Linked DNA regions of Elephas maximus indicus. The protein of the gene in region 1 interacts with the protein of each later gene in a pairwise test. Links are inferred from orthologs where the notes say so. Each region holds a gene or a part of one and is shown on either strand. Other genes may lie near its edges.

Region 1 (7,978 bases):
GGATGACCTCAGCCCCAGCCAGGGCAGCCCGCAGGCCCTCGGCTTCAGCTCGGCCTGCCTTCTCTGCCCGCGCCAGAGCCTCCAGCTCCATGGCCTGGGATTCTAGCCTTATCTTCTGTTGCAGTGAGGTCTCCCGCAGGAGCCGGATCTCCTCCTCAAACTGCCGCAATTCTTGCAGCTGCCGAGAGATCAACTCAGCCTGCTGGGTCAGGGCCTGAGACCCCTCCAGGGACCTTCAAAGACAGGTTCACATAGGTGAGATGTGTTTCTGGTACTGGGAGGTTGGACACAGATACTCGGGCCTCTCTGCTCCCACCCAGGGTCATAGGAGACAGGAAGAGGCAAAAGATTCCTCTGCTCCCATTGGGGTAGGCAGGGGCATGAAGATGGGCCACGGGGCCTCTGCAGAGAGGCATGAGGAATACTACACAGGGATCTCTATATTTACATCACCATCACCATTCATTGAGGCCCTGCACATATCAGGTCCACTGTCTGGGCTTATAAGAAGCCCTGGTGGTGCAGTGGTTAAGCACTCGGCTGCCAACCTAAAGGTTGGCAGGTCAAACCCACCAGCCACTCCATGGGGGAAAGATGTGGCAGTCTGTCTCCATAAGGATTACAGTCTTGGAAACCCTATGGGGCAGTTCTGCTCTGGCCTATAGGGTCACTATGAGTTGGAATTGACTCGATGGCAGTGGGTTTGGTCTGGGCTCACAGGACCTAAGGGCTAGTTGAGGTCATGAGACATACACCTAGAGAGAGCCATATATATATATTAAACATCAAATGCACACAAGGGTCGCAGTAGAAGAGGAAAGCAAGAGGTGTGGGAAACAGTGTGAATAGGGTATGCCATTAGGAAACACATTCTGAGTGGAGAGGTTGGAAGAACACTCAGAGACTTCTGAATTCTGATGTAAGGGCAAGGAAAAGTTCGAAGGAGGAGCAAAGGTATAGCACTCATGAGCTTCTAGTACCAGTACAGTAAGGCCAGGGGTTAGTTAAACGCACCTAGTGAGTGCTCAGTATATTACATGAGGAGTCAAAGGGGACAGTACATCAATAAATTACATAGACCCTACCTTTGGGGAGTATATAGTCTACTGGTGTCGTGTAAAGTTTAAACTAACTCATAACAAGGCTCTTGCGATAGCTTCCTCATTGAAGCCCAAAACCAAAAGATTTTTCAGAAGAAAATTAACTGGGCAAAGGTCTGCCACTTGGCAGCCAAGCTAGCATTAGAGGGTCTCCGTCCCCAGTCCAGGGGTCCCTCTTCTTCATTATGGTCCTTCCTCTTTGGTGGGGTCCAAGGTAGACTCATGTGTGTAAGCCCACTCTAGAGCAAAATGGCAGAATGACATTCCAGTCTATTTGGGGAAAACACACATGAAAGGTCAAAAAGTTTTACAGACAGCACATCAACAAATAGCATGGCAGCTCTAAAGCCATGTCCTCTGTAAATGCTTTCTTCAGCTACACCATCAGAATGACTCCATACCACCACAGTTGTTAGGTGTTGTCAGTCGATTCTGACTAATAGCGACCCAATGTGACAGAGCAGAACTACCCTATACGGTTTCCTAGGCTGTAAATCTTTACAGAAGCAGATCGCCAGTCTTTCTCCCTCAGAGCCACCGGGTGGGTCGGAACTGCCATTCACTTAGCAGCCAAGTGCTCAACCGCTGCACCACCAGGGCTCCTTCACCACCACAGTACCAAGTCTATACTCCTGGTCTGCACATCTTCATGCTTATTAGGATCACCTGTTGACCAATCTGTCTCCTTCCCCAGGATTTTCCATTCCTTAATATCAGGATCTCTCATTCATTTTTGTTATCCTCATCCCTAGCCTTATTATTTATGTGTTGTAGGCACCCAATAGTTGTTTATACAAACATGAACAAATTATGGAACCTAGAGCTGAAACAGGGTAAGGAATCTGTTTTGATGGACGGTCAAAGGCAAGCAAGCCTGAGAAAACGACAATGATGGATCCCTACCTGACTCTCCGCCCTGGCTCTTGCCCATCACCAGAAGCATCCCGTTCCCACATTGGCACTTGAGGTCTCAAGTTGTCTAGCCGCCTCTCTGAGACATCTTGATGGGCTGGGGATTGGACCAAGGGAATGTCTGCAACCCAGGTGGGAGCCATTCTTGGCAGAGTTGGAAGGGACCGAGCTTGGAAGTGGGATGGGGGAATTAGCCCAGTGGAACCTGAGGAATCACAAGGGCACAGATGGTCAGTTTCCCAGGGAGAGGCAATCACCAGTCCCCTGCCTAGTCCCACTGACCTGAAGGTCGCAACGTCTCCACATTATTTGAAAGCTCTAGATTCTGTCTCCAGCCATCCATGTTCCCCTGGACAATTGGAGAAAAAAGGACACTCCAATTCAATTTTCAGTCCTACTTCCAAAAAGAAAGCCCCTACACTAACAAAGTCATCCTTCCTAAATAGCAGCCAGGTCCACCCCACTCTCACCTACTCCTATTTCCTGAAAGGAGGAGCTGCAAATTCACTTGGTTGTCCCAACCAAGATCCTGACAGAACTCTGGCAATAACCCCAGAGATGGAGGAAATTTACTGAGAGACAGCCTGAGGAGGGATGCACTTAGGTTCTACTCATAATTTTAGGGTTCTCGACAGTGCTTTTACCCTCTTCCTTAAGCTTCTATAGTCCCTGCTGGTCCTGCGCATCGAAGTTATGGATTCCAAGGGCTGCGAGCCCAATCTCCAGAGTTCTCTCCATGGCTCAGCAAGGCCTTGGGGAAGCCCATCCAGGCACCACCAAGCCATGACTCCTGGGTCCTTCCCTGTAAAAGCCCCTGCCCAAGGCCTGGCCCCAGGTGAACGTGGCCACATGTGGGGCAAAACGCCTCCCCGGGATCCCTGGGAATACAGCCAGCAAGATCCCTAGGCAGAAGGCCGTCTTTCTGCCATCTCATCCAAATCCTCCCTGCAACCTTCCTCTCAATTTCTTTCTACTATGCCCTCAGCTTTCATTCCTGTTGCCCACTCTCCCCTCTCCAAAGTCCTGGAGCATACAGTTAGCTCTTCAAGATCTTTTTCCCACCATCCCACCCCAATTTATCTATTTTTGACTTAATCGGGGACCTACTCCTGTCCCTCCCTACCTCCTAATCTGTTTTTACCCTGAAGGAATTATCCTGGCTCTTCACTCTCACCTCCCAACTCATCAGTGTACTTTCGCCCCCTGCACTCCAGCCGATGCTCGGTTCTCAACCCCGCTCTCCCCAGACACCCGCTTCCCCTGAGCCTTCACCCTCAGGGCGCTAAGGCTGTTCTGACCACCTCATCTAGCCCCTGTACCTCTTGTTTCCTATGGACCCCCTAAGCCCACCCCCGCACCCCTTTCAGCCCCTTCCCGCCCCCAACCGACTCTTCTCGAACGCCCCTTACCCAGCGCGAGAACACCCCCTCTGCCTTAGGCCACACCCCCTACGCCCAGCTCCGGGGCCTTGGACTCCGCCCCTGAGTGCGCCTGCGCAGAGCGGGCCGGTTTGTGGGCCGCTCCAAAGCCAGATTTCACCCCGGAAGGAGGGGCGAAGTGTACGCAGGCGCAGTAGCGTCTAAAACTGGGTCCAATTACAGTGTTTGAGTATCTCCGCGCCCTGGTGGCTCCTCCCAACTCCGGGAACCCGGGAAAACTTGTGAACCAATCAGAAAAGGTGAAAGGCGGGAGTGCAGGGATACCAGTGCGCTGCCCAATGGGATGAAGCGAGGACAAGAGAGCTGCCCAATCAAAGGCATCAGGGGGCGGGCCCCCTCTGCGCGAACTGGAGACCCGGGAATTCCGAAGGAGGGGTCGCGTCAGCCCGCGCACAGAGGCCCGGCCCCTCCTGGCTTGGGCACCCTCGCTGTCAAACATCTGCGGGAGCGCGGGTCCGGGCCAAGGAGCCCGAGGGGTCCTGGGGCCTCCGCACAGACCGACACTGTCTGGAAAGGAGACCACTCCGAGATGTCACTGCGTGGGTAGATCCGAAACCGGGCTGGGACCCGGAGGGAAAGGGCTGAATTAGTCTTGCGTGATTGCGGGGAGCTCCATCCGCTGTTTTCATCCCACCCAGGGAAACTGGGAAGCAGGGGTTTAGATCTGCTTTGGTGAAGAACTTGGGGGACTTCTCGGGGGGTGACAGTGGATTCGCTTCCCACAGGGTTCCAAACTAAATAGTTCCGAGTGAGGATTAACCAGAAAAGCGGGATGCGGGCGAGCAGAAGGGGTACTCCATTTGGCTAAGCAGGTTTGACAGGAAGCTGCTTTTTTCAAATTACACTGAGGTGATGCGCTCTATTGCACAGAAGCAAGCCCCCACTCCCTCCAGTTGGCATTTGCCCAAAAGCTGCCTAAGGTATCATTGCTTTGCACAGATTGGAGACGTTCCGATTATTTTGCGGCCTGAGGATCCGGCTCAACTGAGGTGCCATAGGGCGTGTTCCTGTTTTGTCACTGCACCAAGGACCTTCCCCGAATTTTCCAGTTGCAAAGCTGCTGGACTGCCAATTTTGCTTTGCATGCCTAGGCTCCTTGTCCCCTGAAATTCCCCTACTCAGGGAGTGTGCTCCAGGTTGAGTATCACACTCGGAAGAGAACTTGGACCAGCCATACACGACCCAGGACCGGCATAAAGTGATGGATTCCTGAAGTGGAAGGCGTGGTGCAAAGAAGCACCGCCCATGCTGCCTTGCTTCCAGCTGCTGCGCATAGGAGGCAGCGATCTCTACACCTTCCACCCTCCCACCGGGGCTGGCTGCACCTATCGCTTGGGCCGCAGGGCCGACCTGTGTGATGTGGCTCTGCGGCCCCAGCGGGAGCCCGGCCTCATCTCCGGGGTGCATGCCGAGCTCCACGCTGAGCGCAAGGGTGATGACTGGAGGGTCAGTCTGGAGGACCACAGCAGCCAAGGTGAGCAGTGAGCAGGGCGGCATTGCCCCTGAAGGGTTGCAGATCCAGGCTTTTGACTAAGGGGCTCCATGGGGGCTCTGCCTGCCTCCAAAATCCTTGTCTGGTTGGATAGAGCTGTGGTCCAGATCATTTTCCCCCCAAAGGGGTGGTGTCAGAAGCTGTCTGTAGGGGGCTGGGAAGTAGATCCGGTGCCTGGGACATCATCAGGGGGTATGTCTGTGGCCATTGGGGGCCAGACTCAGACTGGACCGTTTCCAGGTTTGTTGAGGCACCTGTTTCCATCTTAAGTAGTTGCATTAAATCACAATTTAATAATGGGAGTGTATCTTTTTCTCCCTGACTCAAAGGTAGTTATAGTCTCAGCCTCAGAAGGCCCGGGTTCACGCCCCAGTTCTGCCACTGGCTCCTGGTGAAACCTCAGGCCTGTCACGTCACCTCTCTGGGTCTTAGTTTCCTCTTAGATAAAACTAAATAGTAAGGCTTAGTGGGTCTGCTTTGGTAGGTGTAAGGATTAGATAATTATTGTAGCTAACACTCATTTAAGACTTCCTGTTTGAACCAGACACTGTTTTAAGTGCATTGAGTGTAGGGGGGCATTAATATCCCCATTTTACAGATGGGGAAAATAAGGCACAAAGAGGTTAAGAAACTTGTCCAAGAGCACAGAGTTGGTAAGTGGTGGAGCCAAGATTTGAACCCAAACAGCCTGGCTCCAGAGCTATGCTGAGATAATAACTGTACTTTGAATTGGAGCTGGGTGAGAGAGCTTCCACTGAGATGGAGGCATGGACCTCAGAGAGAGGAAAGGAATCAGCGTGGAGAGCACAATAAAAAAAAACTTGTTCCCAGCTCACAAGCTGCTTACTATCTGGTGTCACCACCTGAGGGGCTTAAAATATGAGGGAGGGAAGAAGGACAACAGCATGTCATATTCCTCCTGATGGGCCCCAGAAAATCGAACAGGTCTAAATTTCTCCACTCCTGACTCTGGTCCTTTCTTTTTTGTCACTGTCTGTATCTGTCTGGTGCCCCACCATCAACAGGGACCTTAGTCAATAATGTCCGACTCCCAAAGGGTCACAGGCTGGAGCTGAGTGATGGTGACCTCCTAACCTTTGGCCCTGAAGGGACCCCAGGAACCAGCCCCTCCGAGTTCTACTTCATGTTCCAACAAGTTCGAGTCAAACCTCAGGACTTTGCGGCCATTACCATCCCACTGTCTCAGGGAGAAGCAGGGTCCGGGGGTGGTTTCCAGCCGATGCTGCCCTCTCAGGGGGCTCCACAGCGGCCCCTCAGCACCCTCTCCCTTGCCCCAAAGGCTACACTGATCCTCAACTCCATCGGCAGCCTCAGCAAACTCCAGCCCCAGCCTCTCACCTTCTCCCGGGGTGGGGGTGGGCCCCAGAGCCTACCCCTTCCCACTCCCCCTGGGGAAGTGGGGACCACCCCTTCTGCCCGAACCCCAGCCCCCAGAAACCGGAGGAAATCAGCTCACCGAGTGTTGGCAGAACTGGACGATGATGAGAAAGGGCCTGAGAGCCCCCCGCCAGTCCTCATGGAGCCCAGGAAGAAACTGCGAGGAGAGAAAACCCCACCGACACCCATCGGGTAAGTGGAGAGGCCTTCCGATCATGTCTGCCTTCCAGCAATATTTCACTGCTTTCTAATTCTGTTTCAGAACCCCAGGCCCTGAAGAGGCCTTCTGCTTGGGGGTGGGGATGGGAGGTAGTGGGCAGAGGTGGAATTGATGTTGGAATGGCAAGACCTGGGCTAGCTCTGCTGACAGAAACAATATATATACAGGACACAGCAAGAGTTAGGTGGGATGGGGGCAGTGGTTTTAAAATAGATCAGCACAGAATTCCTACTTTTACATTCAGACATCTTCAACCCCACTCTTCTAGTGCCTAAGGATGGGACATTTCCAGGCTCACCCCACACATTTTCAGGGACTGTTTCTAGATCCACCCTACAGATTTTGAGGACCGTTTACAGGCTCACATTACAGATGTCTTACCAAGAGTTTATCTAGATTCACACTACAAGCCTCCAAGGAGTTTCCAGGTTCACCCTGCAGTTACCCAGATTTCGAGGCTTCTCCTACAGTTTTCCAGTGACCCTCGTTTTTGTGTCTTCCCCTCAACTTCCTAGAAACCGTCGTGGGCGTCCTCGGAAGCACCCAGTGAGCGCCCCCATGGCCCCCCCTGCAGTTGGGGGCGGGGAACCCTGTGCAGCTCCCCGCTGCTGCCTGCCCCAAGAAGAGACAGTGGCCTGGGTTCAGTGTGATGGTTGTGACACCTGGTTCCATGTGGCCTGTGTTGGCTGCAGCATCCAGGCAGCCAGGGAGGCAGACTTCCGATGCCCAGGATGCGGTGTTGGCATCTAGGCCTAAGGCCCAACAGAGAGGACAGAGCTGGGGCCTCCAGGCCAGGGGCATTAACAGCAAGGTGCACATGGATCCTAAGAGATGCCCCCTTCTTCCCTTCCCTCCCCAGGAGGGAATGATGCCAGGGAAGAGCCCATTGCCATGGATACTGAATTCAGGGACTGGAGCAGGCGCTCATGGCCAAAGGTGACAGAAGAGATGTTTCCTGCCAAAGATACTGCCTCCAAGAAGTTGTAGCCAGTGGATTGCAAATTCCCATTGACAGGTGGTAGAGCTTGTTGCCACGGACACCAGAAAGTCTGGGACCACAGCATCCATCAATTGCAAAGGCCATGCCTGGGAAGATATCATAAGCCCCAGTATTGGACAAGTGGGTTTCTTGGTGTCCTTTGATGGTATCACCTAGAGGATTCCGGGAAAACCTAGGACCTGGCCCCCAAATTGCCCTATACTGTGGCTAGTCCTACCCCTGGCCATGATCATCATAACCTAACTTTTGAGATCTTTTGGACTTTCTGCTTCTATTTCCAAATAAAAAAACAAGCAATTTCATTCATGTCTGGCTCTTTTAAACCACTGCCATTAAAATAAGGTAGTTGGGATTTGGTTAATTTCATGAGGACGGCAAAACTTTTACTGCCTTCACCAGCACCACCAGGAAAACAGA
Region 2 (7,882 bases), on another chromosome or scaffold:
TATTTGCTCTAGGGCCAAGGACAGCCAGTCTCCTCCTTTAGCTGACAGGTGCAACCTGGTTGATGGTTATTTTTCCCTTCCTCAGTGGAGCGCTGTTTCTGGTGAGCATTCCCATGTGTAACACAAAGCTTACTAGGAGCAATGCTGATTTTTATCTAAATGTCTTGTCCCCACAGGGGGCTTGTTTTACACACCAATCTAAGGCTTGCCAGTGGCCCAACCAAATGGCCAGGCCACAGCCACAGCCCATGAGTAAGTTAAAATACAGCAGAGCTCCTTTGTTGGGTTAGCCAGAGTAGTAATCCATACTGCATGAATCTGCCCATCATGCTGAGTTTCCTTTACCACACTCAGTAAGGGGCAGGTCTTTCTCAGGTTAACTGGCAGCTGCACCCCATTTCACCCCAGTACAAATTAATCTAGCAGAGCCATCAGTGAACCAGGCCCATGTGTGGTCTGGAAGGTCTCTATATCTGGGTCCCTAATGGGCCAGTGGAGGCAGCAGATCCTTGGTCAATACGCCTGGGACGGGTAGGGGCACTCCTGAGACTGGAAAGGATTCCTGAACTGCCACAATGCAGTAATCCAAGGCCTCTGCTCAGACTGACTTGATTGGGATTTCTGGTTGTATGACTACTTCATGATCATGGCTCATGTTCTCAGCATCCACTAAGAGGCCAATAATTGTTTGTTAAAAGGTGTATATCTTTCAGTCAACTCCAGGAACTCAGAGGTCCAAAAGCCCAATGGGCACTGCTGGCCTGTGGCAATGATTTTCTGCCACAGGTTCCAATCTGAGAAGCTGCTGAAACCTATAAGTCAAACAGCAAAAGTGGATGGGTGCGACCCAAAGGAAGGGGATCCAGGTGGGTGTGTTGGAGAGAACTCCTGGTGCCCTGTTGGTCAGGCCCCACTTAAAGGTAACAGCCCAGTAGGTGGATGCCAGTAGCTGAATAGGTCCAGAAATCGCTGTGCCTCTTTTTTATTTTTTAGGGCAGAGAGAGCCAAAAGTGTGACAATCTTCTCTGGAACGAGTCGTTGTGACTCCATTATGCCCAGGAATTTCACCTGCATACTAGAGGCCCTTGTCCCTTGCCTGTGTTAATGGCCCAGCTGTGTTACTGCATGTGTGTCATCAGGACCTCCAGCCCTTATCGGGTGATGACTGTCTGGGTCCACCAGGAAGATGTCATCAAGGCTAGTACTCCCACTGGGAGTGAGACTTTTTCCAATCATGGACTACCCATTGCTGGCAGACAGCTGGGAAATTCAGGTAGTTTTGTGGAAGAACCCTTTAATGCGGATTGCAACCCATTCTGCAATGAAGACAAATCAAGCCTGTTCATACCCATGGAGAGGTTATGCTAAAAAGGCAATTGTGATGTCAACTGCTGAATACCAAGTTCTCTCAGCTTGGGTGACAGCCTCTGTGACAATCACAATATCAGGTATCACTGGTGCCAAGGGTGGGACTACAGCACTGAGTGCCTATAATCAATGGAAAGAGTCCAGGCACCCAAGGCCTTTTGCACAAGCCAGACAGGCTAGGCTTCCTTAAGCTCAGCAATGAGGAAGGTTCTATCTTTTTCTCCTCCAGGTGGCTGATACTATTTTTAGGAGACAACTGCACTGGACATTGGTTTTGTTGTTGTTAGTTGCCATTGAGTTGATTCTGATTCATGGTGACCCCATGTGTGCAGAGTAGAACCATTCCATATAGTTTCCAAAGCTGTGACCTTTCAGAAACACACTGCCAAGTCTGTCTTCTAAGGCGCCTCTGTGGGGGCTAGTAATTGAGCTAGCAGTAAAGCTAGTAGTCGAGCAGTTAACCATGTGTACCGCCCAGGTGCCAGGGGGACTACAGTCTTCCACATGCCCCACTAAGATGGCCCTACTACAATAATTCCCATCAGGGCTTAAGAGTGAAGGTGAGTAGTTCTGCGCCCTGACAATACATCAATACCAGTAATATATTCAGCAGAGTGGCCAATAAACGCAGGTATGCAAGAACCTGAAGGTTACTTGGGCTTAGGCCAGGGTATCAGTGGCAGTGGCCTCAAAACCTGATGGTATGATCTGTTTCCCTCTCATGCTGGTGCCAGGAGTTGCAGTGATCACACTCACCTGTGTACCAGTATCCAAAAGGCCCAAGAACTGCAATTTTCTCTCAGAACTATGATCTTGGCATAAGACCTCTGGTGCCCCTTGAGGACAAAGGAACCTCCAGCTAACCCCTAGTCTTGTGTATTTTTTAAAGATGAGAGGCCCGGTGTCTTAGTTTATCTAGTGCTTCTGTAACAGAAATACCACAAGTGAATGGTATTAACAGAAATTTATTCCCTCACAGTTTAGGAGGCTAGAAGTCTCAAATCAGGGTGCTGGCTCTAGGAAAAGGCTTTCTCTCTCTGTCCACTGTGGGAGAAGGTCCTCATCAATTTTCCCCTGGGTTTAGGAGTTTCTCAGTGCTGGGACCCCAGGTCCAAAGGATGTGCTCCACTCCCAGTACTTCTTTCTTGGTGGTAGGAGTTCCCTCCTCTCTGTTTCCTTCTCTCTCCATTTATCTCTTGTAAGGTAAAGCTGTGACTCAAGCAAGGGTGGTACATCCCACCTTGATCCTCATTAATATAACCTAATCATGCCTCATTAACATAGTAGACAACTCTACTCCAAAATGGGACCATAACCATAAGCATAAAACCCGTAACCCACTGCCGTCAAGTCGATTCCGACTCATAGCAACCCTACAGGTCAGAGTAGAACTGCCCTATAGAGTTTCCAAGGAGCGCCTGGTGGATTCGAACTGCTGACCTTTTGATTAGCAGCCACAGCACTTAACCACCATGCTACCAGGGTTTCCCCACAGGCTAAGATTTACAACACATAATTACATCAGATCACAAAATGAAGGATAACCACATGATACCGGGAACCACGGTCTGGCCAAGCTGACAAGAATTTTTGGGAGGACACAATTCAATTCATGACACCCAAGTAAAGTTGGCAGGGGTCTCCAACTCCACTGGGGACAACACTTGTATTAGCCACAAGGGACTATCAGTGGGCAGATACTAATGAAGCTGCCTGTCAGACCTCCATATCAAAGTACTTGGCCAGTAGTTCCTTGGCAGAAAGCCTATCAATCTCCTCCTTTGAGACCCCTATTTTCAAGTAACTAGACTGAGTCTTTTCAGGAAGGCCCTTGGCCGGGCTGCCCAGGAAAAGGCACCTGGTTACCACTCTTCTGTTGGTCGATCTTTGCTATCTTGGCAGTAGCCATTTTTTCCACGTCTGGGAATGTCAGTTAAGATTCAGATTGTATCATGGACCAAATGACCTGACCTCATGAGGAGGTTTAACTGGGCCAGGTAACCAGAGAGAGTAGTACGGAAAAACCTAGAAATCTGGGTCAGGTTAACAGTCTCATGACCCAATTATTCCCAATCCCTCATTATAGACCCAACGGACCACCAGGGTGGTTCACAGGGACACTATAGTCTGAGAGGGTGGCCCAGACATGTTTTTCAGTGGCAGGAAACTCTTCATAGGTGGGACAGACCTATCAGAGCCCAAACAGTACCCAGCTGCAGAAGGAGAGTCTCGATGTTCATGCCCTCTCACTAGCCACCTCCTCCTTAGGCAAACTAAGGCTTCCTGTCAGTGCATCTGCAAAGAGGTCTGTAATGACATGCCCTACAAGGCACCACTCCCTCACTAAGTTTAACAAGATCAACTTCTTCATTATGGAAGCCAACTAACCGAGGCTCTAAGGTCTCTTCAGGCTGCTGGGCAAAGGGATCCTGACAGGCCCTACATTCTTTTTTACTGAAGGCCTGAGATTCAATAACTTGCTGTGTTGAAGAAGGTCTGTTGGCACCAGGACGTGCTGGGAGCTAACAGCAACCACTGGACGCAATTTTGCACGCAGAGCACCCGAGTAAGTATGCAGCGCAGATGGGGAATCCTCTTGCTGCCGAGGAGCCACAAGCAAAAGGCTTCTCCTCTTCATGAACTGGGCGGGCGGGGTGGGGGGGGGGGCCTGAGGGTGGAAGGTCAAAGTGAAGGGAAGTAACAAGTAACAAATGGAGGTGCCTGGGCTAAGAATGCAGATATGCATATGAGTATGGCTGGCAATTATGGGGGGAGGGGTCCTGAGAGCCTGACTACAACTCCCTCCAGACACCACAGGGCACCAGCTGTGCAACTCGTCTGGTGTGGGCAGCGCAGCTTCTCCCATGAGGCCTGCCAGTAACTGCTTATGGTCAGGCCTGAAAGAGTACATACAGGATTTTGGCTTGGAGCTAGGCTCCCCAGCTACTATAAGCAAGGTCTTGGGACTAATGCTGTGGGGGTAAAAGATATAGTATGTCCCAAATTCCGGCACTCACTCAGGTGCTATAGAATGGTAATATAGAATATTGAAAGGTCTGCCACGTTTTTGACCTTGTAAATATCAGTAAAACTCTTTTGAGCATAACCCTATCTCATATATAAACAGCACTTAGAACTCCTGGGATAAAATCGGTAATATATGAGCATAGTGTCTATTATTTTTATTAAGATTAGAATTAGATTATTAAGATGTGAACATGTAAATATTCAGGTTAACAACAGAATTAGAAATTAAAATACTATTGAAACAAAATACGTATACTCACGAGTCATCTAAATCTGGCACCACACTCTTACCAAAAGCCATGTCAAGAAAAATAACTGAAAAACAGAAAGAAGAGACTAAATGTATACTTCTGATTTATCATTTCGTTCACACTTGACGCTTAGTCATCTATAAAACGTTTTTTTTTTTTTTTTTGATGTTCTGACCAGAAACTCTATCACTGATTCATCCCGGGGTACAAGTGAAGGAAAACCACAAGGAGTTCATTTGTTTGATAGATATTTATTCTGCAACGTAATTTCCCTGTGACAGGTAAGTCCTACGTATGATAGTAAATTCAAAATATAAAAGCTCTTTTTCAACATATCTTTCCTCTGATCCTATTTTTCCATTTTAGCATTCCACCTGTTCGGAGCAGAGACAGAAATTGTTCTATACTTCTCCCCTTTCCTTAGTACTTCTAACTTCAAGTGCCATCCAAAATATTATTATTTTTTTAATATTTAGATAGAAACAGAATTGAGCTACCACTCTAGTACTTATGACAGAGCAGTGCCTGGCACATAGTGGAAAGGCAACAAATGGTTGCTGAGTAAGTGAACGCAGGGAGGCCGGCAGGAAGAGGCCCAAAAGGGTCACCACACCGCTGTCGCCGTCACTGCACAATTCCAGCGGTCTGATAGTGATCTGTCCTTGACCATCCTTCCCTTTGCCCATGGATGGTGAAAACCCTCCAAATACGACAACACTTGGCCCCTAAAAAGCCAAAGCAAAATGTGGCCACACGTTGGGAAAGTGTCACCTGCTCGCCTGTCTGAGAAGCCAGGGCGACGGTACCCCTGCCACAAAAGACGAAGACGAGGACAGGGAATCTCCTGGGGGACAGCGCATCTTTTGGGGCCTGGCACCGGGTATGCACTGCAATGCCGAGTGGGTGGAGGACCCTAAGGTGTCAGGACGCCGCAGGACTGCGCGGGGTCCGAAGGGGGAGGCCGGGAGCCCGCAGACGTCCCCGCGGACCCCGCAGGTAACCCCCAGTCCAGAGGCCACCCCCGGCGCAGGGGTGATCCCCGGCTCTCCTGTCTCGCGCGCGGCCATACCTGTGGCGCAGAGGCGCAAGGCGGTCGCACTGCTCAGAGCTGCCATGCTCGCCGCAGTAGCGACTCCGCAGTGGCCGGGACAGACGCAGGCGCCGGCCGCCGCTCTCCGGAAGGGGAAGCGGGCCCCTTCGAACGCGGAATGAAGCCGGGCACGGAAGGCGGGGGCGGGGCAACCCGGCCTCTGTTCTCTCCCGGACCCCGCCGGCCCTGCCTCTGAGCATGCGCGGACCGCGGGGGCGGGGCGGGCGAGCCTCTGCTCCCTAGTGGACCCGGCCAGCCTCTCCTCTGGGCTTGCGCGGGGGGCGGGGCGGGGCTGGCGGGCCTCCGTTCTCGCCCCCTCTGGGCTTGGTTTAGCGGGCTGCAATCGCGAGATGACGTGCACGCGCAGTCGCCTTATCGCGGAGCGTCTGTGCCCTTGGCCGCGTCTGGGGGCTATGGGAACCTGGTGGCGCGGGCTTCTTGCGGTTTGGGCGAAGAGGTGTGTGTGTGTGTGAAGGGGAGACGAAAAACTGAAATACAAATTCTTAAATTAATACTAAGCTTTGTACTGAGGATGAGGTAGGCTTCGAAAACGCAGTTTGAGGTTGAATCTCGCCTGCTCATTTACCTGCTACACCTGTTCAGTGAGCCCACCAGTGCGTTGGTTGGTGGATCACACTCGTGAAGAGAGGCACGCCTTAGTGTGGGGAGAAAAACGGGCCCTGGATCACCGGGTTCTGTGACACTGCCTACATTTCCAAAACGTGTTTGGAAGCTGTTTGAACCTGTTTCCAAAATTGGGCATTTTTTAAGTTCTTTTAATAAATTTTTGCTAACTAAAGGAGTCCGTTTTTTAAAATTTGTTTCTCTTGAAAACTGAAAAAAATGGCCTGTATCATTTGTAATGATTTTTTTCCTCTATATTTTCTTTTTTTTAATAATATTTTATTATGGTTTAGGTGAAAGTTTACACAGCAAATTAGGTTCCCATGTAACAATTTTTATACAAGTTGTTTGGTGACAGTGGTTATAATTTTCATAATATGTCGGCATTCTCATTATTTCCATTCTGTTTGTTTTGTTTCCATTGATCCAGCTTCCCTTCCCCTCCTTGCCTTGTCATCTTTGCTTTTGGGTAAATGTCGACCATTTAGTCTCGTATAGTTGATTGCTCGAGGAAGCACATTATACATGCATAATATTGTTTTTTTTATTAAGCCAATCTATTATTTGGCTGAAAGGTGACCTTCAGAAATAGCTTCAGTTCCAAGTTCAAAGGGTATCTTAGGCCAGCAGTCCCAGGGATTCCTCTAATCCCTTTTGGTCCAGTAAGTATGGCCTTTTTTTAGGAATTTGAATTTTGTTCTGAATTGTTTTCTGATTCTGTCTCAGACCTCTTATGTCCCTGGTCAGAATGGTCGGTAGTAGTAGGCGGAGACCACCTAGTTCTTCTGGTCTCTGATTAAAAGAGGCTGTGGTTCCTGTGGGCTGTTAGTCCTATGGACTAGTTTCTTCTTTGAGCCTTTGGTTTCCTTCATTCTCTTTTGCTCCATTCAAGTTGAGACCGATAGTTGTATTTTAGATGGCTGCTCACAAGCGTTTAAGAGCCCAGGCACTATTCACCAAACTAGGATGTAGAACATTATTTTTATGAACTATGTTATGCCAATTGACTGATTTGTCCCACTAGACTATGGTCCTAAGTCTTTTAACCAGGGCTTCTTACAAGTTCCCAGGCCATGCTAATGCTCCTGGTTAGGGACCAATTATGAGAATCACTAGCAGAGCAGTGGTTCTCAAGATTTATTATATGAGTATTACCTGGGGTTCTTGTTAAAATGTAGATTCTGATTCAGTATACCTGGGGTGGAAATGTAAATTCTCAGTAGGGTTCAAACTGGAATGAACCAGTTTGAAGCCTTGCTTTTAACCCAGTAAACCAATCCCACAAGTTGTTTGGATATGCTCAGGAAGCTTCCATAACTGTGTCCCTTATGTGCTTCATTATATAAAAAAAAAAAAAAATCCAGCACGCACAAATGCCTACAGATACTCCTATACATGCAGGTACGTTTACTCACATATGCCTTTCTATACACATATTTGCATACGTATCTGCCTATGTAACCACACACAGTTTTTTTGATGTTATTGTTGTTGTGAACTTGTATATATTAGAGCATTTACT
Region 3 (7,714 bases), on another chromosome or scaffold:
ACAGTGTAGCCTTAGATGAACTCATGTGGGCGTCTGGTTCTGATGTTCCCTACCTCCCTGGTTTACCTGAGCAAGAGTGAGTCCTTCTTCTTGCTCCAGCTCCTCAATTAAGGCCAAGGGGTCTCTGTGCTGTTCTGGGGACAGCAGATCTGCTAGAAATTGAGGGTGAATGATGGCCTCCACCTGGGGAACAGAAGGAGCATGATGTGAGAATCTTTTGATGGGAGATAACCTGTGAACCTACAGGTTCTAGAAAAGAAGCCATGAGCTCCCCACTCCCCAACCCCTGCTATAAACCATCACCACCAGGAGCTACACATAGTCGTGTGCATCCTCACACACACATACACTTCTCAGGAGTTACAGAATACCGCCTAGTCCCTAACTGCTTTGGGAAGAACCCCAGATCTTTGATTCCCATGAGTGCACACCACCATGATGTACTAGAAACCAGACCTCCAGACACAGCCCACCTTGGAAACAAAGACTTCCTGAGAACACAGCTCATCGATGTAGCTCAAGAGATCCGGATCTGGGTACATCCCTTCCTCCTCCTGCTGCTGCTCTTCTTCCTCTTCCCATTTTCCATCAGACTCCCCAGTGGCTGAGTGGCTCCCCAACAGCCCTTCCATGATGTCAGTGTACTCTTTCACTGCTTCCGGTGGGATTTCCTTGGGTGCCTCAGGAACTGGAGGCTTCTGGGACTTGCGCTGCCGCCGGCGAGGGGCCCGCGTCTTGGAGACTGCCTTCTTTGGAATGTACACTTAGGAAAAAGGTGGGAAGGAGAAAGGCAAAGTGGCATGGAAGCTACAGCTTCTATCTCCCAGCCTTGTTTGGAAGGGCAATCTGGGTGCAATGAAATGGTTCCAGGCTGGGTCGGGCCAACCAGAACACCAGCCATGGGAGAAGACTTAGGAACTGGAGGTTTTCGAGAGAATCACAGAATGAGGAATCTTGGAACTCCAAGAAATCCCCTAATCCAGCCCCCATTTTTTCGACAGATTAGGTATTGTGGCCCCATTTGACATTCAAAGGAAGAGTAGCTAGTTTACTTGGCCAAGATCAATAGCTAGTTGGGGACAAAGGAAACCTGAGAACCCAAGCTCCTAGGGAATGTCCTGTTGGAAACAAGCAAATACCACTCCCTGGAGGAAAAGTGGCAGAAGCGAGAGCAATGCCTTCCCTAATCCGACTGGTTTCTGCACGCCTCCCTTTGAGCCTCTGGCCTACAGCTCCTTGTGGAATTGGGTAGCCATACCTGGCTGCTGGCAAACCTCAGGGGCTGGGGGTGCTGGAGGATCGAGTTTAAGAGGGTCTGCAGGAGGCAGGCATTGGGTCTCATTCAACAGCTGTGCATTCTGAATCTGCATCTCTTCCTCAGTCTCAAACTCCATGAACCTGCAGAGGGTGAGGAAGGCACGAGCAGTGCTGAGAAGGCAGCCAGTCCCATGAGGAAGCCAGACACCAGGCAGCAGCCATACACAGGACAGGATGTATCCTGAGTTGGACAAAGTCCTGCCTAAGTCACATCACCCAGAAGGGAGCTGTGCACAGGTGACTGAATAACAGTTCACGGGCAACCTCACATGGTCACCATATGGTCCCTTTACTTGCAGTCATCACTTAGGATGCTTATTTAGAAAATGATCTAGTGCTTGTAAGCTTCTCTAGAACAGAGGGTAGCTTTCGCTTTCTGTGCTCCATCTCACCCAGCATCATAGGTGGCTGCCACCACACTAAAACAGGTTCACTGCATTAAACCAACGGGGGACAGCATAGCAGGACCCCTCCGCTCCTTAAGGCCTCATCTGCCCCAGCCTACAACCACAAAAACCCAAACCAAACTCACTCCCATGGAGTCGATTCCAACTCACAGCAACCCTATAGGATGTGGTTAAACAGCCCCACAGAGTTTCCAAGGCTGTAATCTTTACAGAAGCAGACTGCCACATCTTTCTCTTGCAAAGTGGCCAGTGGGTTCCAACCACCGACCTTTCAGTTGGCAGCCGAGCTCTTAACCACTGCACCACCAGGGCTCCTCACAACCACAAAAAAAAAAAGGATGGCTGAAATCCTGAAGATGGGCCCAGGGCTGCAATTCTAGGCAGTACCCACCAGGAGGCAGTGCTCAGATCCAAGAGTCATGAATCTAGGACAAGGGCTCTGGATGGGTAAAGCCGGGAGGATTTGGTTCAGAAGAATTTTGGGAGAAAGTGGAAGCTAAGCCTGGAGGAAAGGATTCATTTTCCTCTGAGTTATTTTTTTTTAACCAAGGAGATTATGGGGAGAGAAGAGCCAGGAGACCACTCAGGGCTCCAAGGACCTAGCTTCCCCCTAACCAACTTTTTCCAGACCAGACCCTCCCTGGGAGGACGAGGTAAACAATTTTATGTGCCACTATTTCCAAAGGAAGTATGGTCCCAGGTTCTGCATCCATAGCCACTTGCTACCTGGACAGTGAGAAAGGAAGAAACCTGCTTAGTACAGCTCAACTCCTCCTGGCTAGTTCCCTCTGACAGCATGGGATTTTTACACCTATCAGGCTCCCCAACCCCATCCAAAGACTTTCAATCTCATAGAGACTCAAGACCTGGAAGAGGGGGAGTTTCCAAGGGTAGACAGGATGTAAAAACAGGAGCAAAGGTGGTAGAAGAAGCAACGTGAGGGGAGAGAATAAAGCCTTCCAGGATCCAGGAGCGTGTCTCCTTATCTACGCCCTTCTTCTAACATCCTTTTTCATAATCACCCAGACACCAGCTTCTCTTCACAGTCCCCATCGCTCTCAGCCACACAGCCCCCCTCAGGAGAACGAGGGTTCGTGGGACTCACTTTTCTGCCATCTCATAAAAGATCATCCGGTCAAAGTTGCTGGTGCGCTCCCACTCCTGGACAGCCCTCGGCAGTCCCTCCTCCAGGGTCATGGTGGGCTTCAGCCGGGCCAGGGAACGAAGCACTGGGCTAAAACCCCCCGTTAGGTCAGTCTTATTCTCCAAGTACATCCTCCCACCCACCTCAACGCACATCCCCGGCCCTTCATCAGACCTGACATGCCCTGCTCCTGTCACGTCCCACACCCAATGACACTTCCAGACTCCCCACCCTCCCATCCATTCATTTTACCATACTCTCCTCTCTTCCAGCTGAAATGTGCTCGCACACAATCAAACAGATGATTCTTCTCCCCACATTCTGAAATCAACCACACTGCCTCCACTCCCAATTCTCACAGTGCTGTCCTCCAACGTTAGGAAGGAGAGAGCACTTGTGTTCTTAATGAGAGTCACTACAAAGTAGGTGTTAACCCTGCCCAGAGGCTCTTGAATTTTTTAAAAAAGGAACCTGAAGGAATCTCTCATTAAAGGTTGTGTGTGTTTTTATGTGTTGATTTTTAAGTGTTTTTGCCTCCTGGATACCCTTCACCGTCGGTCAGGTATCCAGATATCCATACTAGACCTCCCACTCTGGAAGGCTGCTGAGCCCTTTCTGATCTAGAAGAAATGGAGAGGCCAGCCTAAGGTAAGGGCTTCGTTTTTGCCTCTCTGACTTTTCGTGAAGTCCTCACACATTATTGTGCATCAATCAAAATCGCCTAGGGAAGTTCGTTACAAATATGGATTTCAGCAGCCCACTCCCATGATCCCAAAAGTGAGCATTTTACTAGCTTCCTAGGTGACTGTTTCAGAGCATCTGGACTACACTTTGGGGAAGACCCTGCCCAGAGCCCCTAAGTGTGGGAGCAGGAATAGGCAGGCCAGGACCAAAAGTAAACAGGTCCCATGCAAACCATGAGGGCCTGTGCTGGCTCAGGATTCAGAAATCCAGCCTTCCAGGCTCTGGGAGAGAATCCCAGGTTGGCTCGAGAAAGCAGGGAATCAGTGATATTGTCTAAAACTGGGATTTTGGGGAAGTCTCTTGATTTATTCATTCCAGGGTCAGGTGGAGGGAGAGGTTCCTTTAGGAGTTCAACCACTGCGGAAGCAACATGTAAATTCTTTAGAAGTCCAGTAAAATGTGGTATGCGTTCTAGAGTTGTTTATACAAAATGTTGAAGGCACAGTGCAGACCCAAGAGAGGCAGCAGGTCTGGGTGAGAAGCACTGAATACTCCCCAGATGACCAATATTTCTGCTTTATAAATGTAACATGACCCTGGACTCTTCTGCTAATCATTTACTCACACATTCACACTCTTGGCAAGGATATTTTGGTCTATTTTAAGTTCTTTTCCTCTTCTATGTTGCCTTTTTATAATAATAATAACAGCTACCATTTAATGGAAGGCAGTGGTTGCTTAACAGGAGACCTGGGCTCCATTCCTGGCCAATGCACTTCAAGTGCAGCCACCACCCACCTGTCAGTAGAAGTGTGTGTGCATATTGAACAGGTTTCACGGCAGATCCTCCCGAATAAGACAGACTAGGAAGAAAGGGCTGGCAATCTACTTCTGAAAACCAGACAATGAAGACCCTATGGATCACAATGGTCCAATCCCACTGTGAATATGGTCACCATAAGTCAGGGCCAACTCGACAGCAGCTAACAACAACCATCTAACCTAACTTAACCTGTTGCCAGTGAGTCGATTCCAACTCACCGTGACCCCATGTGTTACAGAATAGAACTGCTCCATAGGGTTTTCTTGGTTATAACCTTTACCAAAGCAGATAGCCAGGCCTTTCTTCCACGGCATCACTGGGTGGGTTCAAACCACCAACTTGTAGGTTAGTAGCCCAGCCCAAACTATTTGCGCCACCCAGGGACCTACAACAACAACCACCATTTAACCAGGCATTCACTTTGCTAAGCACTATAACAAACACATTTAATCTTCTCAGCAGCTATCTGAGGTAAGTATCATTATCCTCTTTTTAAATGAGAGAACTGACAGTTAAAGATGTTAAATGCCCTGGCCAGGATTACAAATCTAATGAGTAGTGGAGCCCCTGACCACTAAGCATGCTCTAAAAACCAAAACAGTTGCAGTCGAGTCAATGCCAACTCACGGTGCACCCCATGTGTGCCAGAGAAGAGGTGTGCTCTGTCAGGTTTTCAATGTAGATTGCCAGGCCTTTCTTCTTAGGCACCTCTGTGCCAATCTTTTGGCTAACCATTACACCACCCAGAGACTCCCAGCACACTCTACCACCTCCCTAATTCAACTTGAATTCTCCTGAATAAAATGGGGGCAGGTGAGGGTAGGTACACACAACGTTCTTTGCCTGGCCCTGCACTGTCCTTTCTTCCTGCAGGAATGGGTCATGGCCCAGCACTCCTTGTCCTGGCCAGTTGGGAAGCCTCAACTCATGTTAAGAGGTAGCAAAAGAGAAAAGGAGGATCACGGCACTTGTAGTCAGAGACCTAAATTCAAATCATAGCTTTTCACTTTATGATGTAATCAAAGACCTAAATTCAAATCATAGCTCCTCCCTTTATGATGCAGTCAGAGACCTCAATTCAAATCACAGCTCCTTGCTTTCTGATAGGAAACCTCTCTGAGCTTGAGTCTTCTCTGTATGTAAGGATTACGGTAAAGTTGCCTGCCTGAACTCACAGGTTATGAGGGCCACTTGACAGAAGATACCTGAAAGCATGTTATAAACTGGGAAGTGGGTTAAGAGGCTTATTATCATTATTATTATTGTGCTTTTATCTTCTCATAGCATCTGCATTACCCTCATGACCTGCCTTCAAGTACTCTTAGATAAATAACCTAATCACCTCACAGTCCTCCGTATTTAAAAGCCCTAGGATAATTAATATCAGGCCTCCCCACTTACATAAGAAAGCAGGAAAGAGCTTCTGCATCAGGACTTTGGGATAGGTGCCTCCGGGCCAAGGCTTTGTAGCGCTGCCAACGTCTGAAATTCTCATAAACGCCCTTGGAGGTATAGGAGAGGTCACCCAGTGAGGGCTTGGATGGGGCAGCTGCAGAGCCTCCTTCCCCGGGAGCCCCATGTGGCCCTGGCCAAGCCTTCTCCACGGGGACGGTGGGGGCCAGTTGGGCCGCTGGTGGTAGAGCTTGAGGAAGAAGGCCTGGGGGCCCCTCCTGGCTCACCCCAACAGTCTTAGCAGGCAGAATGTTCTTCACATTAGAGGCTGTCATGAATTGAGGTGGAGGACCATCAGGGCCCCCGCGAGGAGCACCTGAGGCAATCCAATTGAGGGCAGTATGAGTAAGGATAAAGTTCTGAGTTTGAGGGGACTCAGCTGGCCCCCCTTCTGTCTTGACTTTGACAATGACCTTGCCAGCCCCGGGCCCACTGGAGCCAGGGCCCCCATCCCCTGTCATCAACAGTCGGCTGGGGAAAGCAGACAGCACTAGAGGGGTGCCTGGAGAGAAGGCTGAAGGCATGGAAGGCCATGGGGGTGGCTCCCAGGGTGGCTGGTCTGGTGGGCCTGGAGTAGGTGGCGGAAAGGGAAGGGCAGGGAAAGGAGACATGGCAGCGCCAGGTTTCATGGTCATATCCGGTCCTGACAACGGAGATGCTGTTGAGACAAACAAAAAGAGCGGATGGAGTAGGAGAGAGGGAGACTGGCATTAGACCATCTGGGTCCCCCTAAATCACTAAAGAACCAGAGAACTGATTCTCAACAGGTGGGGGAAGAGGCATGGACGGGGAACTTATGTAGTTTGCAACTGCCCCCACAAGTGATCTGGATGTTCTTTACTCCCAGCTGAGAATTACTACACTAGAGAAATTGTTCCCTTTCCAAAAAGACATGGAGACCCTTATTGGCCACGAAGAGACAAGCCCAAGCCATCACTGCCTGTGACCTCCTTGCCAGCCCCATAGGCTGTTTGCCAAGACATGGAACAGGGTTGACACCAGCTCTGCAGAGGAAACAGCCCAGAGCAGGCTCACAAGCGTGTAAGAGACCTAGTCTAGAGAGGTTCTGCCCCTTCTCCAGGTACCCACAGGGCCCTTAAGGAGGCAGTTTCAAAAAGATTATTAGCCCTATCTCCTCCTCAGTCTTCCTTTTACCTTATAAATCTCCCCTCTCTTTCCTGACCTAAAACACAGAAGAAGAAAGATGCAATCGACTAGCAGGAGCAAGGACCCTTGGACCCATGAAGCTTACACCCCATAACACATCCCACCCAGCATACATGTACATCTGCTATTCCCCTCCATTCCAAGCAGAGATTCAAACCTGAGCCCTGCTCCCAGCTGCTCTGTGGTCCCTGCCACCACTCACAGAAGTGCTGTTACCAGGAGAGGTGGTGTGGACTAGATATTTGGTTCCCAGAAATTTTGTTATATAAATCAAGAATGATTAGAGAGAAAATGGGGGGGGAAGTATAGAACCAAACCAAACCCACAGCCATTGAGTCGATTCCCGACTAATAGCGAGTCTGTAAGATAGAGTAGAACTGCCCCATAGGGTTTCCGATGAACCCTGGGGGATTCGAACTGCCAACCTTTTGGTTAGCAGCTGTAGCGCATAATCACTACACCACCAGGGTTTCCTGGAGGAATAGGGAGGGAGCTCTAAGTAACTGCTGGGAAAGTTAAAATTTGGCAAAGGACACTGTCTGTGGTTCTTCTGCTTTGAGCTCCTAATAACCTAGAAATTTAGGGCCCACTAAGACCGAACCGTGTGCAAAGGGAAGGACCATGAAGCCTGGAACAGAGTTCCTGCTCACGAGGAGCTCATGTCGACGCTAGTCAAGGGGACCAATACACAAGATGTGTACTTACTCAGGATGTGTGTCT

Evidence for each region. The genes of interacting proteins can lie anywhere in the genome.
Region 2: the proteins of CCHCR1 (region 1) and CCDC102B interact in binary tests that used the Homo sapiens proteins (3 or more experiments, as listed by UniProt). The link is inferred for Elephas maximus indicus from reciprocal best matches to the Homo sapiens genes CCHCR1 and CCDC102B.
Region 3: the proteins of CCHCR1 (region 1) and NUTM1 interact in binary tests that used the Homo sapiens proteins (3 or more experiments, as listed by UniProt). The link is inferred for Elephas maximus indicus from reciprocal best matches to the Homo sapiens genes CCHCR1 and NUTM1.

What each region holds. Positions count from the first base shown.
Region 1 is NC_064819.1:91,462,724-91,470,701, forward strand, and holds the start of CCHCR1 (coiled-coil alpha-helical rod protein 1), read right to left. Parts: upstream 3,004-7,978; 5' UTR 2,864-3,003; coding exon 2,657-2,863; intron 2,362-2,656; coding exon 2,295-2,361; intron 2,218-2,294; coding exon 2,004-2,217; intron 234-2,003; coding exon 1-233. Other genes in the region: TCF19 (transcription factor 19), read left to right, coding at 4,697-4,925, 5,969-6,533, 7,077-7,311. UniProt on the Homo sapiens protein: May be a regulator of keratinocyte proliferation or differentiation.
Region 2 is NC_064829.1:76,614,869-76,622,750, forward strand, and holds the start of CCDC102B (coiled-coil domain-containing protein 102B), read left to right. Parts: upstream 1-4,871; 5' UTR 4,872-4,927; intron 4,928-5,715; coding exon of another isoform or gene 5,716-5,761; exon of another isoform or gene 5,762-6,192; intron 6,193-7,882. Other genes in the region: protein disulfide-isomerase TMX3, read right to left, coding at 4,656-4,710, 5,716-5,761. UniProt on the Homo sapiens protein: During interphase, forms fibers at the proximal ends of centrioles to maintain centrosome cohesion. During mitosis, dissociates from the centrosome following phosphorylation to allow centrosome separation. Contributes to CROCC/rootletin filament formation.
Region 3 is NC_064828.1:23,983,175-23,990,888, reverse strand, and holds the start of NUTM1 (NUT family member 1), read right to left. Parts: upstream 3,012-7,714; 5' UTR 3,000-3,011; coding exon 2,830-2,999; intron 1,399-2,829; coding exon 1,259-1,398; intron 764-1,258; coding exon 474-763; intron 184-473; coding exon 67-183; intron 1-66. UniProt on the Homo sapiens protein: Plays a role in the regulation of proliferation. Regulates TERT expression by modulating SP1 binding to TERT promoter binding sites.